Linked DNA regions of Saccharomyces cerevisiae S288C. Changing the gene in region 4 together with the main gene of any one other region gives a genetic interaction. Each region holds a gene or a part of one and is shown on either strand. Other genes may lie near its edges.

Evidence for each region.
Region 1: mutations in UGA4 (region 4) and HXT11 together harm fitness less than expected from each alone (positive genetic interaction), as found in Saccharomyces cerevisiae (one large-scale study listed by BioGRID).
Region 2: mutations in UGA4 (region 4) and RPL27A impair growth when combined (synthetic growth defect), as found in Saccharomyces cerevisiae (one large-scale study listed by BioGRID).
Region 3: mutations in UGA4 (region 4) and MRX20 together harm fitness more than expected from each alone (negative genetic interaction), as found in Saccharomyces cerevisiae (one large-scale study listed by BioGRID).

What each region holds. Positions count from the first base shown.
Region 1 is NC_001147.6:22,860-27,676, forward strand, and holds HXT11 (hexose transporter HXT11), read left to right. Parts: upstream 1-2,413; coding exon 2,414-4,117; downstream 4,118-4,817. Other genes in the region: oligo-1,6-glucosidase IMA2, read right to left, coding at 1-1,435; YOL155W-A (uncharacterized protein), read left to right, coding at 4,225-4,359. UniProt on the Saccharomyces cerevisiae protein: Probable glucose transporter.
Region 2 is NC_001140.6:123,923-127,992, forward strand, and holds RPL27A (60S ribosomal protein eL27 RPL27A), read left to right. Parts: upstream 1-2,598; coding exon 2,599-2,629; intron 2,630-3,190; coding exon 3,191-3,570; downstream 3,571-4,070. Other genes in the region: TDA3 (Tda3p), read right to left, coding at 187-1,758; putative serine--tRNA ligase DIA4, read left to right, coding at 3,858-4,070.
Region 3 is NC_001138.5:240,197-244,390, reverse strand, and holds MRX20 (Mrx20p), read right to left. Parts: upstream 2,394-4,194; coding exon 2,382-2,393; intron 2,310-2,381; coding exon 1,392-2,309; downstream 1-1,391. Other genes in the region: BNA6 (nicotinate-nucleotide diphosphorylase (carboxylating)), read left to right, coding at 1-112; centromere-binding protein CNN1, read left to right, coding at 232-1,317; DUG1 (metallodipeptidase), read left to right, coding at 2,954-4,194.
Region 4 is NC_001136.10:82,051-87,085, forward strand, and holds UGA4 (Uga4p), read left to right. Parts: upstream 1-2,219; coding exon 2,220-3,935; downstream 3,936-5,035. Other genes in the region: active spliceosome conformation promoter CWC2, read right to left, coding at 4,157-5,035. UniProt on the Saccharomyces cerevisiae protein: Required for high-affinity, high-specificity GABA transport. Also transports putrescine.

The DNA.
Region 1 (4,817 bases), on a different chromosome or scaffold from region 4:
TTCCTTCCCTGAAAGACTCGTTCAAGTAAAACCATGGTTTAGCATTAGGACCAGAAAAACCAGCATTTGGCTCCTCACGAGACCATTGCATAGGTGTTCTAGCATGGTCTCTGGAAATAAGGGCAATTGCTTCCAAAAACCTCTTCATCTCCTTCGAGTTTTCTCCATGCTCTTCCTTGATCGCATCATAGTTATTTCTAACTTCGACATCCTCGTATTTTTCGATAGGCCAGTTCTTGAAATTGATTTCACCCAGTTCCTGTCCTTGGTACACATATAGAGTACCGCTCAGTGACACCAACAACACAGACAACAACTTACCAGAAATAACACGGTTCTTAGGAGAATCGTCACCAAATCTGGTAATTGAACGAGGTTGGTCGTGATTTTCCAGATAAATTGTTGACCAACAATCAGTTCCGTTAACGTATCTGAAAAGTTCAGCAAGGGCAACCTTCCAATCCTTTAGTTCATATGGGATCAAATTTTGACGGAACTTGGGCGAAGTCCCGACATCAGTGTGGGAAAAGTTGAATAACTCACTAAGTTCGTGTCTTGATGCACTTGTATACAACCTCTTGGTTTCATCAGTAGCATGTTGCATTTCACCAACTGTCATAATTTCTCTGCCATCCTTCACTCTGTTTCTGATGAACTTGTTCATTTCTTGATGAAACTCATGGATACGTGGTCCGTTCATTGTGAAAGGATCACTGGGTTGCCACTTTGAGTTTTCGTCAATCACAGGAGCGTCTGGTAGACCAGCAACCTTGGAGTACAAGCTTCCCACATCAATTCTAAAGCCGTCTACACCATGGTCTAACCAGTATCCAACGGCACTTTCGTAGATTGCCTTTCTACAGTCCTCATTCTCCCAATTCAAATCAGGTTGGGTGGAGCAAAACAAACGCAAGTAAAACTCTTGTGTCTTTTCATCGAACGTCCATGCAGAACCACCGAAGTAAGACCTCCAATTGTTTGGAGGAATTGGCTTGCCTTCGGCGTCATAACCCTTAGGAGGTCTCCAGAAGAACCAGTCACGTTTTGGATTGGTTTTTGAGGATCTGCTCTCTTTGAACCATTCATGTTCGCTCGAGCAATGGTTGATGACTAAGTCGGTGATAAATTTCATACCAAGCTTATGTGTCTTTTCGATCAAGGCAAAGCAGTCCTCGTTCGTACCGTAGGTTGGCCAGACCTTTTCGTAGTTGGCAATATCGTAACCCATATCATCTTGTGGCGAGTCGTAGAATGGTGAGATCCAAATGGCATCGGCACCAAGCTCTTTGATATACTCCAACTTGGAGGCAATACCCTTCATATCACCCCACCCATCGTTGTTGGAGTCTTTGAAACTTGCGGGATAAATTTGATAGATTGTGGCCTCTTTCCACCACTTGGGTTCTGTTTCTGGATGTGCAGAAGAAATAGTCATTGTACGTTGCTTTCTTTTCTTTATGAAAAAACTTTCACTTTTGTTTGTGTGTTTGGACTGGTGAATGGAACATATATTCTAGTACAGCTAATTCCTCGAGTGAAGAAGTCTTTCTTACTTATATATGTCTTTTACGTGCCTATGGACGTCTTACGAATGATCGAAAATAAGAAAAGAACAAAGTAAATTTAGGATCTGGAAGGAGTGCTGTATGTAAACGAAGCTTTCAGTTTTAGGTAATGTTTGCACAACCTACATGATATAACATGGTATGTTCTGCAAGAGCGTGCCTGGCCCTTGGCCCGTTATAGCAGATCATACCATCTGCAAGCAGACCCCATTATTGCACTGCCTCCGCAATCTTGCGTATACGTAGTCCCACGACAAAGTACGAAGCGTAAACTGACCTTGTTCAGTTCCCCACAAAAATTACATAACCATTTCTCCGCGGAATTACATAATCATTTCTCCGCGAAAATTACATAATCATTTCTCCGTGCGAGTTATAAGTGCTTTTCTCGTGCATCCCTTGGCACTTCACAAAACCTTCTTTTTCTTTTTTTTCTTTATTTCAGGGGAAATCAGTGCAAAACTAAAAAAGAAAGAAATTTTGTGAAATGTAAACTCCAGGTGTCAAAAAATAAATTATATCCGTGGAAAATCAGGCGTCGGAAATTGTAGATGAAACCGCCTCCTCCACAATAAATGCTGACCACACGAACAATGCATACACTCGGACACCTTCGTTCAAAGTATCAGTAGCAGTTCGACACACCGTATACTACTTAGCTCTTAAGGTCTAGGCTCATCTTTCTCAGTTCCTCTTTTTCGCTAATTAAAGGTATATAATGTCACAGTTGTGTAACTAGAGAAGAGCACACTTGTTCCTATCTTTTTCTTCTTCTTTTTTTGGTATGAGTTGAAAAAAATAATCATTGCACAATTTAGTTCTAAACGCTTTTGTTATTACTCAATATCATGTCAGGTGTTAATAATACATCCGCAAATGAGTTATCTACTACCATGTCTAACTCTAACTCAGCAGTAGGCGCTCCCTCTGTTAAGACTGAACACGGTGACTCTAAAAATTCCCTTAACCTAGATGCCAATGAGCCACCTATTGACTTACCTCAAAAACCCCTCTCTGCGTATACCACCGTCGCAATCCTGTGTTTGATGATTGCATTTGGCGGCTTCATCTTTGGTTGGGATACCGGTACCATTTCTGGTTTTGTTAACCTTTCTGATTTCATCAGAAGGTTCGGTCAAAAAAATGACAAGGGAACCTACTACTTATCGAAAGTAAGAATGGGTTTGATCGTCTCAATATTCAACATTGGCTGCGCCATAGGCGGAATTGTCTTGTCAAAAGTCGGTGATATATATGGTCGTCGTATTGGATTGATTACAGTTACTGCCATTTACGTTGTAGGCATCCTAATCCAAATAACTTCCATAAACAAGTGGTACCAATACTTCATTGGAAGAATTATTTCTGGCCTAGGAGTGGGAGGCATTGCTGTCCTTTCCCCAATGTTGATATCTGAAGTTGCTCCCAAACATATCAGAGGAACTCTGGTCCAATTGTACCAGCTGATGGGTACGATGGGTATTTTTCTAGGATACTGTACCAATTACGGTACCAAGAACTATCACAACGCCACTCAATGGAGAGTCGGCCTTGGTCTTTGCTTTGCCTGGGCTACATTCATGGTTAGTGGAATGATGTTTGTACCAGAATCACCACGTTACCTGATTGAGGTTGGTAAAGATGAGGAAGCGAAACGTTCACTATCGAAATCCAACAAAGTCTCAGTTGACGATCCAGCCTTGCTAGTTGAATATGACACTATAAAGGCAGGAATTGAACTTGAAAAGCTGGCAGGTAACGCATCATGGTCTGAACTACTCTCCACTAAAACAAAGGTCTTTCAGCGTGTTCTCATGGGAGTGATGATCCAATCGCTGCAGCAATTAACCGGTGACAACTACTTCTTTTACTACGGTACCACCATCTTCAAATCTGTCGGTCTAAAGGACTCCTTTCAGACTTCGATCATTATCGGTGTGGTTAATTTTTTCTCTTCATTCATAGCGGTATACACCATTGAGAGGTTTGGACGCCGTACGTGTCTATTGTGGGGTGCTGCTTCTATGCTATGCTGCTTTGCTGTGTTTGCCTCCGTCGGTGTGACAAAGTTGTGGCCTCAAGGAAGCAGTCACCAAGACATTACTTCTCAGGGCGCCGGTAACTGTATGATTGTGTTTACTATGTTCTTCATTTTTTCGTTCGCCACCACTTGGGCAGGCGGCTGTTACGTTATTGTCTCAGAGACGTTTCCTCTTAGGGTCAAATCAAGAGGAATGGCAATCGCAACAGCTGCAAACTGGATGTGGGGTTTCCTGATTAGTTTCTTTACCCCATTCATTACCGGGGCAATCAACTTTTACTACGGTTACGTATTCTTAGGCTGTCTGGTTTTTGCATACTTTTATGTCTTTTTCTTTGTCCCAGAAACAAAAGGCCTGACACTGGAGGAGGTGAATACTATGTGGCTGGAAGGTGTGCCAGCATGGAAATCGGCCTCATGGGTGCCACCGGAGAGAAGAACCGCAGATTACGATGCTGATGCAATAGATCATGACAATAGACCAATTTACAAGAGGTTCTTTTCCAGCTGATCTTCTAGTTTTCGGTAAATTGGTAAAAAAGCAAAAAAAAAAATTGACGAAACTAATTCTCTATTATACATAATGTTTTTACTTTTGTACCCTTTAATTTCTAATGAATGTTTTATGGAAGCTTCAATAAATGCGTGACTGGCTATAGTTGTCGGATGGCAATCCATTATTATGTATACCGTATTATTAAGAGTGCAACTAGGCCCGACTATAAATCTAACACTCAGATCCTTGTACTGTAATGCATATTTATTTTTTCACAAGTTGCATGCTAATAATACCATGATATTTTTTGAAGCCTTGAAAAATAGTTCAAGCAGCTACGATATCATGAATCAATATACTCATTGCAGCCTATGTAATATATATAGGTTCCGTGTTACCACTCGTTTCTGATATTTTCGATATGGCTACACTGGGTTTTTCATGATGGAAATGTGATACTACCAGTTCCAATATATTTATCTTCCTTATCTATATGACACGCTGTTATTTTAGTTCAAGTCAGTGTCCAATTGGGGTGAGTGTCACGTGCACAACGACGGTAGTCGTTGGATGTGCTAAATGATGTTCTACTGCCAATGACTGCAAATACGTTCGAAGAGTATAAAATCGAAGGAAACGAATTAAGTTGCCAATCCTTACTGTAACTATAGCATGTTACATATATGTACCATAAGTATCACATTAAGGTTTCGCC
Region 2 (4,070 bases), on a different chromosome or scaffold from region 4:
ACGCCAAGAGAGAAAGAGAAAGAGAGAGAGAGAGAGAAAAAAAAAAAAGAAATATATAGATTTAGGTATTCGTTAAATATATACACATTAAATGGCCTCAGAAATTTTAAATATATAAATAAATAAGCTCTTATATGTACAAATTTGTGCATATACTTTTCTTGACCTTTTTACTCCTCGGCTTGATTAAGAAAGGATGGTGGCGTCGAAATATAACTTTGGATCCAAACTTGAGATTTCCGCAGAGGTTGCTTCGCCATCAAGGAGAATCTCAGCCATTAATTTACCTGTTGCTGGCGCATTGTTAATACCCCAACAAGAATGTCCACTTGCAATATAAAGATCCTTGACATTTGTCTCACCAATTAAGGGACCAGAACTTGTAGGAACGTTTAAAACTGGCAAAAAACAGGCTTGTTTCCGCAAGAGATGGCCCTTTGATAGAGTTGGCGATAATTTGGATACGTAATGGTACAATTCATCACACTTCTCCGAAACTACCTCCACATCGTCCGAACTTTCAGGTATATTGACTAAAGTGTCGCCTTCGCCGCACACATAAACTTCATCTTTTCTAGCATACATTTCAGGGGAGAAAAATTCACGGTCGTTAACTTTTAGTTCAGCAAGAATAGCGTAAGGTGAAACTGTCTTTTCACTAGGCTTAATGGTGACAGAGTGGGCTCTCAATCCAGAAATTGGACAATCTTTTAGAATCTTGGAAGTCCAGGGTCCCATACTCAAAACAATCTGCTGGATGTCATTGATTTCAATGGGCTTCGCGTTCTCATCGTTGAAGATTGTACCCAGCTTAATGTCTGGATTTTCTGCATGCCCTCTGCTATTTCTGCGATTCTTGACGACAGATGGAAGGTACTTAAGAGAATGAACACAATCCATCTCGTCACACTTTAGCCCAACTACCTTACCTAGGAGAAGATCGACAGCACCTGTTTCCATTGCCTTCGATAAGATGAAATGGGTGAATTTATAGGGATGAAGCTGCGCTGTGGTATCAGTACCACCTAGTGATGACCAATCATTAACCAATTCTCTTCTTATCCAATCTAAATCAGCAGGCAAAGGATTATGGATATTAGTCTCTCTCAGTTGCTCCACGGGACTTACAGAGTCAAGATCAGATGCGCTATTTGTGTGGCTTCTCATGCGCTCATTTGTTAGAGAGTGTAAACTGGGTACTGAGCTAGAAACATGAATGTCTGATCCTTCTTCCTCGTTACTAGCGGAGTCGTTTTTCAAAGAAGAGCCCGAAGAACTCAAAGATGAATTAGAGTCCCCGATGTTAAACTTGTTGGATATGTAGCCCGGTCTCTTCTTTGGAGGAGGGACATTCAGATTATATGCCTTCTTGCTCAGTCTTTCGTAGTTTTCAATGACTTCTTCGCGAACATCTGCTTCTAAGGACACAGTCGTCAATCTTCTGTAGTCCCAGTTGTTTTCTCCATCATATTCATCACTCAACTCCTGATGTAGCTGGAAACTTAAAGGTACGATTTGGTGAGGGAAAGCCCAAGATGCAAGCAAGCCACCTGCTTTACCAGAAGCCCCTCCAGCAATGCGCCTCGATTCAATGATGGTAATATGATGCGTCGAAGGGCTGAAACTTGGATGCTGGGTCAAGTAGTAAGCAGTACAGCAACCGATGATACCGCCACCTACAATGACAATATGTTTTTTCCCTTCGCTGTTCTTTGAAGGGTACGTTTGAAACGGTGGGTGCATAAAATCTTCACCCATTTATAAACACTATTCCTTCTGTTGCTTGGTTAAAATGCTATTGATACTTAGATGGTGTATTGGAGAGCACGAAAATCTTTTGCTGAGTGACTTGAACTATCAAACAGAATTACTTGTTGGCTGATTTTTTTTAAGTCTTGATTTAACAATAGAAAAAAAAAAAAAAAAAAAAGGAACAATATAACTTTTGTAGTACGTGTGCCAGGTTACAGATATGGTTTCACTTCTATGTCGTGCTTTTTTCATTCATACGTAATCTTATGCATGTAGGGGATAGACGCACAAAAGCACCAAGGCTGCATGTATTGATAAATTGGCTTACACGATTCCAGCTAAGGGGACTCGGACGGAACCGTCTCATATTATACGTTCAGTGAATATTTTTCACGGAAGAATGGAAAGGGCCTCGAAAGACGTTAATGCATCCGTACACCTACATCTTTACATTTTTTGCTGTTGCACCTACACTGTTTTTTTTTTTTTCACCTTATGAGTCCTGTATTTCTTGAAAGAGCCGATAACAATATTCCAGGTGGAGTCCCGAGGCAGAATCAAGGCTGCGGAGAGAAGTTCCTCTCAAACTAATGGGAGTGATCCGCTCAGTTCTCCCATCACGACAGAACTGTCTGAGACAAAGTCTTTCCAGCAGAGCTCCGCCTACGCTCTTGCTGCAGAGATTCGCCCGAAGGCAGGTTTCCTGAAATTCTTTTCACTAGTAAAGTGTTCGTTCATGTAAAACATACTGCCGTAGTTTTGAGCTAAAATTAAAGATATATTAGATTTTTAGAATTTCTTAGATAGTCTCAACGTGTTAAAACAAAAGCATAACCAAAGAAAAAAATGGCTAAGTTCTTGAAAGCTGGTAAAGTTGGTACGTATCATTTTCAGTTTTTGGACATCAACAAAAAACCGTGCAACTGTGGTATTAGAAATCCAAGTTATTAGCAGTTGATGTTGTATAATTTGAGTTTGAATTCGAGTATTGTATCTTCATATGGGAGTAGGGAGGAAAAAGCGTGGAGATGTTAGATCTGGGAAAAAACCTTTAAATTTGAATGATAGCTTATTAATAGAAATATTGGACAAAAAGATGAATGATTTAGGAGCGAAACTAACGATTATTCATATTCATTGAGCTATACGAGGCAGTGGAAGGGTTATCAAAAAGTTGTAATTTAAAAGAAAAAAGCATCAATAGCCACCAAATAAGATGGTGAAAGTTCCGCGATATATTTGCTAAGACCATAGGCACATGTACGCAGGCGACCAGGGCCTTTTATTTACTGTAGTTCTTTCCATGCCCTATTAAAAATTCGTGGGCCTATGATAATTTTTCTCTCCCTAGTATTGAAGAACAAAATTGAGAATTCGCCAAACTTTAAGAAGGGTTCACATTTACTAACTATTTCTTTTCCTTCCTTTTTTTACACAGCTGTCGTTGTCCGTGGTCGTTACGCCGGTAAGAAGGTTGTTATCGTTAAACCACATGATGAAGGTTCCAAGTCTCACCCATTTGGTCACGCTTTGGTTGCCGGTATTGAAAGATACCCATTGAAGGTCACCAAGAAGCACGGTGCCAAGAAGGTTGCTAAGAGAACCAAGATCAAGCCTTTCATCAAGGTCGTCAACTACAACCATTTATTGCCAACCAGATACACTTTAGATGTTGAAGCTTTCAAATCCGTTGTTTCTACTGAAACTTTCGAACAACCTTCCCAACGTGAAGAAGCTAAGAAAGTCGTCAAGAAGGCTTTCGAAGAAAGACACCAAGCTGGTAAGAACCAATGGTTCTTCTCTAAGTTGAGATTTTAAGAGAATTGCATTATGGTCAACCAAAAATCAAAAAATTATTAGTAATATCAACATATGTATATTTAATGTATGTAAACAATGATTAAATATTAATAAAATATATCTACATATAAGTATACGCAAATGGGGTTTTTCTTCAAAAAAATTGTTTGCTGGTGTTTTCAACCTTAACGACAAAACGAATCATAACGCGGTAAAGGGGAACGATAATATATAATGGAAGCATTAAGCAAACAGCTTTGTAATACGTTTTACAGACACTGAACAAGACAAGATTTTAAACAGCAATGATTATAAGGCGCTTATTTTCAATTTCAAATCGCTCATTCTTCTTGAAGAAACCTCAATTTGATGTAAAAAAAATAATAGAGATGATTCCTCAGTACCAAACTTCTATCCAGAATAGAGAGCTGATAGAGGCGGATAGTATTATACGAAGCTTACAACTGTTGGGTGAACGGTATCAAAATATAAAAGAGATTGATAAAGTTATTGCGGAT
Region 3 (4,194 bases), on a different chromosome or scaffold from region 4:
GAATTTGGACAACCTCGAGGAGTATTTGTGCGATGACATTGACATTTACAGCACTAGTAGCATTCATCAAGGCACACCAGTGATTGATTTCTCATTGAAACTGGCTCATTGAAAATGCTTAGGCTTCGATTTTTACTTTTTTTTATTTACATATTCTAAATAAGATTAAGAAGCTACGCGTTACCGATTAATGACACACACGACGATTAGTAACGAAATAAGAAATGAATAATGAGCACTCCCAGGAAGGCCGCCGGTAACAACGAGAATACAGAAGTCTCAGAGATCAGAACCCCCTTTCGGGAGAGAGCCCTTGAAGAACAACGTCTCAAGGATGAGGTACTGATCAGAAATACGCCAGGTTATAGAAAACTTTTATCTGCTTCTACTAAGTCTCATGACATCCTCAATAAAGATCCGAACGAAGTACGAAGTTTTTTACAAGACTTAAGCCAAGTGTTAGCACGCAAATCACAAGGCAACGATACAACTACTAATAAAACTCAAGCACGGAATCTAATAGATGAATTAGCGTACGAAGAGAGCCAACCAGAGGAGAATGAGCTTCTTCGGAGCAGAAGTGAGAAACTGACAGATAACAACATTGGCAATGAAACGCAACCTGATTATACTTCCTTATCGCAAACAGTATTTGCAAAATTGCAGGAAAGAGACAAAGGCTTGAAAAGTAGGAAGATTGACCCGATAATAATACAAGATGTTCCCACGACAGGACACGAGGATGAATTGACAGTGCACTCTCCAGATAAAGCTAACAGTATCTCTATGGAAGTTTTGCGCACGTCGCCAAGCATTGGAATGGATCAGGTAGATGAACCGCCAGTACGTGATCCGGTACCAATTTCCATAACGCAACAGGAAGAACCACTATCTGAAGATTTACCAAGCGACGATAAAGAGGAGACAGAAGAAGCAGAAAACGAAGATTATTCGTTTGAAAACACCAGTGACGAAAATTTGGATGATATAGGCAACGATCCTATCCGTTTAAATGTCCCTGCGGTGAGACGTTCTTCTATAAAACCGCTGCAAATAATGGATCTAAAACATCTTACAAGGCAATTTTTGAATGAGAATAGGATAATATTGCCGAAACAAACGTGGTCTACTATACAGGAGGAATCTTTAAATATAATGGATTTCTTGAAACAAAAAATCGGCACGTTACAAAAACAGGAATTGGTAGATTCGTTTATCGATATGGGTATTATCAATAACGTTGATGATATGTTTGAGCTCGCGCACGAATTGCTTCCCTTAGAACTTCAATCAAGAATTGAAAGTTATTTGTTCTAAAAAAGATACCGTAGAGAAAATAATTAAATAGTGGCAATTTATGTACAGAAAAGAGTAAAAGATCCACAAAATTATCAAGACCTGGAAGAGAAGCCTAGTAACAAACTAACCTGTTCATAAACAGTGAACGTTAAGCCTCCTGAAATACCGACTTTCATAAACCTAAAGATGGAGCCCTTCCAGAATGTGGCCATGCCTTCTTGAACAAATATTCTATACATGCAATTTAAGGTATTTTTATATTCAGTTTTGGCATTTTGACTCATCATCCTTGTTTTTACGACGTCAATGGGCTGAGTCATTGCCACGAGTGTAAAAGATGTGGCTAACCCCGTTATTACTGAGGATGCCTTGTCGTTTCTTGCTTGTAACAACCGTTTAAATGCTGTGTATGCAGTAAATTGAATAGAGGTGTTAGCTATCTGCCTAAATATGGTGGCTGTTGTTCCCTGGACGAACGCAGCAGGGCCTCTTGTTTGATACATGTGTTTTACCGCTGGAAGTAGTTTCTCGATACGAGCCACAGGAGTAGATTTAGTCGCCACCTTGTGAAAGGTTGCCTTTGCGTTAACTACAGGTTGATTCTTCTCTAATTTTTTATGATCGATCATCGCCGATTGGATAAGGGTGGTTTTTATGTTTTCAAAAGGGATAATAAACAAACTTTCTACTATTCCTGTCAACGTACCAGCGATCAAAAGGTTATAACCAGTCAGTCTTTGAAAATTATCATTATTATCAATGTTATTATTCAGGGAGTGGCATAACTTGTCGAACGTAACGAACCTTAAAATAGTCTTACCAAATGCGGCCACGTTTAGGGCAGAGCAGCCAACAAAGTACGACTTAATCTGAGGTAAAATGATTTCGAAAGCGGTACCCTTCGGTTGCAATTGTAAACCAGTCTTTAAGTACTCAAATGGGTATGTCATTGTCGTTTGAAACACAGCAGCTACACTGCCGGCAGTGATTTGCTTGTAAAGGTCAGAGTTCTGCAAACGAGAAAAAAGAGAGCGTTAATAAAATAGCATTAGCGTCTTGGAACGAAACAGTTTACTACTTACCTGGTTAGCCATGTCGGGTGCTGTTCTTACTGCCCTTTTTTTACGATTCGACTACCTGTGAGAGCAATTACTTTTTCAATTATATTCGATTGAAAAATAGCTTAATAAGGCGGAAGAAGTTCCCACTTCTGTTCAAAGCCCTTTAAATTAAACAACCTAATAAAATCAGCAGACGCAAGAAGGAAAAACCTCTGACACCCTTTCCAGAAGTTATGTTGACAAGAAAGTTTGAAATTTTTGGATTAATAAGTCGATTTTATTATGACTAGCGAAGGCGAACTAAACAAGAAGTCGATTAAATCCCTCGAGTGATTGATAACTCCACAACACATTTTGTGCGCCAATCGGTGGGTTAAATACTCGAGCACATCTTTTAGAATAAGTATTCGTATTCTTTTAAGTTGACCAATGCCACAGCATATTTTAGCAATATCCCTTATATTCGTCATTCAAAACGGCTACAAGAAAATGTGTCAAAAAAAAAAGAGAGACTATAATAGCAACATGTTGTTCTTATCAATTGAATCTCCCTTCATTGTTAGTTCAGTTGCTCCAGAGCATCGTACACAAGCATGTCTCACTCACTTACTTCCGTTTTCCAAAAGATTGATTCTTTAAAGCCTCAGTTCTTCAGCAGACTGACTAAGGCTATTCAAATCCCCGCTGTTTCTTCGGATGAATCACTAAGGTCCAAAGTCTTCGATAAGGCCAAGTTTATCTCCGAGCAATTATCACAATCGGGGTTCCATGACATTAAAATGGTGGATCTGGGCATTCAACCTCCACCAATTTCTACGCCAAATCTGTCTCTACCTCCTGTGATTCTGTCTAGGTTCGGCAGCGACCCTTCAAAAAAGACTGTGTTGGTTTACGGTCACTATGATGTGCAACCTGCTCAATTGGAAGATGGTTGGGATACTGAGCCATTCAAGCTTGTCATTGATGAGGCTAAAGGTATCATGAAAGGAAGGGGTGTCACCGATGACACTGGTCCCTTATTATCTTGGATTAACGTTGTGGACGCCTTCAAAGCCTCCGGACAAGAATTCCCCGTTAACTTAGTTACTTGTTTCGAAGGAATGGAGGAAAGTGGTTCTTTGAAATTGGATGAATTGATTAAAAAGGAAGCTAATGGTTACTTTAAAGGTGTAGATGCCGTTTGTATTTCCGATAATTACTGGCTAGGCACTAAGAAGCCTGTTTTGACTTATGGTCTAAGAGGTTGCAACTACTATCAAACCATCATTGAGGGTCCAAGTGCAGATTTACACTCTGGTATCTTTGGTGGTGTTGTTGCTGAACCAATGATCGATTTAATGCAAGTTCTCGGTTCCCTTGTGGATTCTAAGGGTAAGATCCTGATTGACGGTATTGACGAAATGGTTGCTCCTCTAACCGAAAAGGAGAAGGCTCTATACAAGGATATCGAATTTAGCGTCGAAGAATTGAACGCTGCAACTGGCTCTAAGACAAGTTTGTACGACAAGAAGGAAGACATCTTGATGCACAGATGGAGGTATCCTTCGTTGTCCATTCATGGTGTGGAAGGCGCCTTTTCCGCTCAAGGTGCAAAGACTGTCATTCCAGCTAAGGTCTTCGGTAAGTTTTCCATTAGAACCGTCCCCGACATGGATTCTGAGAAACTGACCTCTTTGGTCCAGAAGCATTGTGATGCCAAATTCAAGTCCTTGAACTCTCCAAACAAGTGCAGAACAGAATTGATCCATGATGGTGCTTATTGGGTTTCTGATCCATTCAACGCCCAATTTACTGCTGCTAAAAAGGCCACAAAACTGGTCTATGGTGTCGATCC
Region 4 (5,035 bases):
TATCCTCGCTTTGATTACATGAGTAGAACCCAAGGATTTATGGAAAATTTGACTGGCTTCAAGATTTTTAAGGCAGTTCTATGAGATCACACACTTAATCCGCTTCCAGAATTTATTTTCTTTTTTTGATGATTTATGCTCAAGGAATTTACCTGTTCTCAAGAATATGTTTTTAATTCGAAGCTTTGCGTATATGATGTTTATCAATAACGTGTGCATCGTCGATATCTCTTCGCTAACAAAAAGCAATTTAAGTACCAAACAAACAGTAGTAATAGAGTGGGTCTACTTTGTCGATTGCCGTAGCAGGACATTTAACGCAAACGCTTCGGTAATCTGGTGAAATGATTGGATTAGGTGTTTTGTAAATTTTTTTTTTTTTTAGAAGATATTAATGCTGCATAGGGGAGAGATAAACGTCGCGGGAATTTGTGGCGGTGGAGCCCAGGTACGTATTAATTTTGAATGGCGCAAATCTACTAAGTACGGTATCATTTTGATGTCGGAATACGGATAGTCAGTCCATAACTGCACCACCAATATTTTTCTTGCCGTTCTCATTTCCTGCACAGTTTCTTTGATTATGTTTGCAGAAGAATTTCTTTATCGTTTAGTCTAAACAAAGAATTCGTTGTAAAGAATTTGAGAGCGGATCTTGCATTTTTTATTTATCATGCTTATGTTTTTTCTTTGATGTAAGAAGAAGCAAGTAAGATATGTGAATATCTTATCACTAATTCAAATAACTAAGAGAGCTCACAACGACAATTTGTGACAGCATGCGAAGCAAAGAGCAGTGATACCAGTATCTTTCATCCAGTAATAACATACGACTGATGTTATAGTTAAATGTTACATTTTGAGAGACTTCAACCTCTCGAAACCAAGAGGTTGGTTTTAACTCTGGTGACTTCAAGAAGGGTGGGTACCTTTTACAAAGCTTGAGACGAAGCAATAGTCAGTCTCTGTATAACAAGGAGACCACCTCATTTTCCAGTAACTCTTGAGGCATGTCGGATGGTTTGCCTTGAATAAACCGCAGTCATTATAATGAATGGCCTGTACTTTCAAAACAGTCTGGAAACAGAAATCCATTGCTGAGGTACCTTTTAGTAGCACTTTCGTTAGTGAAGGTTTAAGGTTAGTTCTTATTTACTGCACAAGAGTTTACATTTAACCACTCTAATAGTAACTGTTAGAGTGGTTTAACTGTTAGGTGATCTGTTCATTCCATTTTTCGTGTTGTATCTCAAGATGAGATAGCTTAGCGTTGCTACATACATAAATCTAAACATATAAACACCTGTGTAACTCGTTAACGTCTGGGCTTCCATGCTTCTACCATTTAGAATGATGTAGACCATTTATTCCAAGAGGATAAGCACCCTCTGTGATTCAAAATGATAATAAGTGTTGACGACAAGTTACTCTCGCAGAATTGTTGTCAACAGTCTTGTATTAGTTGTTATCCAACGCTCCCGTTTTCAAGTTCACTTAGCGCAAGTGGTTTAGTGGTAAAATCCAACGTTGCCATCGTTGGGCCCCCGGTTCGATTCCGGGCTTGCGCAAGTTTAATTTTTTTTCTTTTTCCACATTGTTTTCCACTTTGCACTCATTTCCAGTGTTTATTGTGAATGACAATTTCTTCAATCATTGAAATGATTGATTTTTTGGGATCTATTTTTCTCTTTAGTGGTTACTGATCAGGCAACTCTATATCATTGTTTAACCGCGGCTTGCGTATCTTATTTTCTTTTTCCTAGGCATCTTACTAAGGTACTCTTATCGCTAATCGCTTATCGCTTATCGTGCGCCAAAAACCGCCGGCGGCAATTTCGAGATGTTTTATGTCATGTTGGATTTTGCAATCTATTACCATGGAGGTGAGGGCCTTCGATGGTCCAATACCGGTGCACGTACCCATGTACGTTTATCGAATAAGGGGAGAACCTACTAATTTTAAGTCGGATAACGCGGCTTGGCACAGTAATCAGTTCCTTCTTTGGGTTAGAATCTTGATGTGAGATTGTGCTCAGTGATAATGATAGCGAATACGGCTTACTCTTGAATAACAAATGCATATATATTAAGAAGTAGTTCAAACGTATTCTGTTGACTGGCATGGTCCTTTCCTTCTTGTTGTGATTATATAAAACAGTATAAGCTGTTTACTTCAGTTGTGAAGTGTAACAAGGTCTTATAATTTATTATTACTAACAATGAGTATGTCAAGCAAAAACGAGAATAAGATATCAGTAGAACAAAGAATATCCACTGATATCGGTCAGGCTTACCAGTTACAAGGCCTTGGGTCTAACCTAAGGTCGATTCGCTCCAAGACTGGTGCCGGTGAAGTGAACTATATCGATGCTGCTAAATCTGTAAATGATAACCAACTGCTTGCAGAGATCGGTTATAAACAAGAATTAAAAAGACAATTTTCAACATTACAAGTTTTCGGTATTGCGTTCTCCATTATGGGTCTATTGCCCTCCATTGCATCTGTGATGGGTGGTGGGCTCGGTGGTGGTCCAGCAACATTAGTGTGGGGTTGGTTCGTTGCTGCGTTTTTCATTTTACTGGTGGGTATTACCATGGCTGAACATGCAAGTTCCATTCCTACCGCTGGTGGTTTGTACTACTGGACGTATTACTATGCTCCAGAAGGTTATAAAGAGATTATTTCTTTTATTATTGGTTGCTCAAACTCCCTAGCGTTGGCAGCCGGTGTGTGTTCCATTGATTACGGTTTGGCTGAGGAAATTGCTGCTGCTGTCACATTAACCAAAGATGGAAATTTTGAAGTAACGAGTGGGAAACTTTACGGTATATTTGCTGGAGCAGTGGTGGTTATGTGTATTTGTACATGTGTTGCTTCTGGGGCCATTGCTCGTCTGCAGACGCTAAGTATATTTGCCAATCTTTTCATTATTGTTTTATTGTTCATTGCGCTACCGATTGGTACCAAGCATAGAATGGGAGGTTTCAATGATGGTGACTTTATATTTGGGAAATATGAAAACTTAAGTGACTGGAATAATGGTTGGCAATTTTGTCTTGCTGGTTTCATGCCTGCTGTCTGGACTATTGGTTCCTTTGATTCATGTGTCCATCAATCTGAAGAAGCCAAAGATGCCAAGAAATCAGTCCCCATTGGTATAATCTCATCTATTGCTGTTTGTTGGATTTTAGGTTGGTTGATTATTATTTGTTTAATGGCCTGTATCAACCCTGATATTGACAGCGTTTTGGACTCCAAGTACGGCTTTGCTTTGGCTCAAATAATTTATGATTCGTTAGGAAAAAAATGGGCCATTGCATTTATGTCATTGATCGCATTCTGTCAATTTCTAATGGGTGCTTCCATTACCACAGCTGTTTCTAGACAAGTTTGGGCATTTTCCCGTGATAACGGTTTGCCCCTATCAAAGTATATTAAAAGAGTGGATTCTAAATACTCGGTCCCTTTTTTCGCTATTTTGGCTGCCTGTGTAGGTTCCTTGATTTTAGGATTGTTATGTTTGATTGATGATGCCGCCACTGATGCATTATTTAGTCTGGCTGTTGCAGGAAACAATTTGGCATGGAGTACCCCTACAGTTTTCCGTTTAACATCAGGTAGAGATTTATTTAGACCTGGTCCATTTTATTTGGGTAAAATCTGGTCTCCAATTGTTGCTTGGACAGGTGTTGCTTTCCAATTGTTCATTATTATTTTGGTTATGTTCCCCTCTCAACAACATGGTATTACTAAATCCACAATGAATTATGCATGCGTTATTGGTCCCGGTATCTGGATCCTTGCAGGTATCTACTACAAAGTTTACAAGAAGAAATACTACCACGGTCCAGCAACCAATTTGTCGGATGATGATTATACTGAAGCCGTTGGTGCTGATGTTATCGACACAATTATGTCCAAACAGGAACCATAAATGTTCAAACCTTTATAAAGATTTTATATTCAGAGTTTATAAGGTCTAGCTTATATAGTCAGTATTTTTAATTTAATTATATTATAGTTTATCCTATCTCACCGTTTTAGCTTGTTTTCTGCGCCCAAACATAAAAATCAAGAAGCGCGGATAATTTATGATCAGCTCAGCGGGAATGTTAATGGCAGATACTTAGAATTTGGTGGAAACGATTTTCTTCTCTAATCCTCATCAGAGGAGAGGTAATCGAGCAAGGGACCACCAAGCTTACCAACAGATGGCTTTGATGAAATATTTTCTCTACTGATATTTTTTTTCACTTTCTTCAATTTTTCTATAAAATCATCACTCTCCATTCCATTATCTAATGGCAATAGTCTTTTCTTGACATTATCAACACTTGCTTCTGGAAATGTCCTGTCTAACCTTTCATTATTCTTATTATTAACCTCAGTGCCAGCACTATTGGTATTGTTATTGATTAGATGCACCATCATGTTTAAAGACTCTAACTTCAGTTCTTCTTGCAGTCTTTTCTGTGCAGCGGGGTCTGGATCTTCATTTGCCCATTTCACCAATAGTCCAGTACCCTCCCTTCTATCATCCCATTCTTTATCGCTGGGTAGCAGCAATGTCTGATTGCTCATGGCTTCTTTGGCAAATTCTGCATTAGCTTGATATTTAAACTTCACAAATCCACAGTTTTTGCTCTCAACGTATCGTATTCTATCAATATCACCCAATCGAGAAAATACAAATCGAATTCTGCTTTCTATCTGAGCTGGCTTCAAATGCTTGCTATTCAATGCTCCATCAATACCACCTACATACAATGTCTTGTTTTTCTTCCTAAATGAACCGATCCCGCCCATATCCTCTCTATAGTCAGCAAATTTTTCTCTACCAAAACAGTCCAATACCTCTGTCCTCAGGGCCAGTTTACCTATATCTTCTTCGTCTGGTATATGATGCAGATATTCACATTTAGGGCCAAGGCAACACATACCCTTTGCAAAAAATAGACAGAAGAACAACTGGCCATCATTATCGCCCCTAGTCTTCCCAGAATGAAGTTGCGGCTGCAAAGCAAATGGACTAAC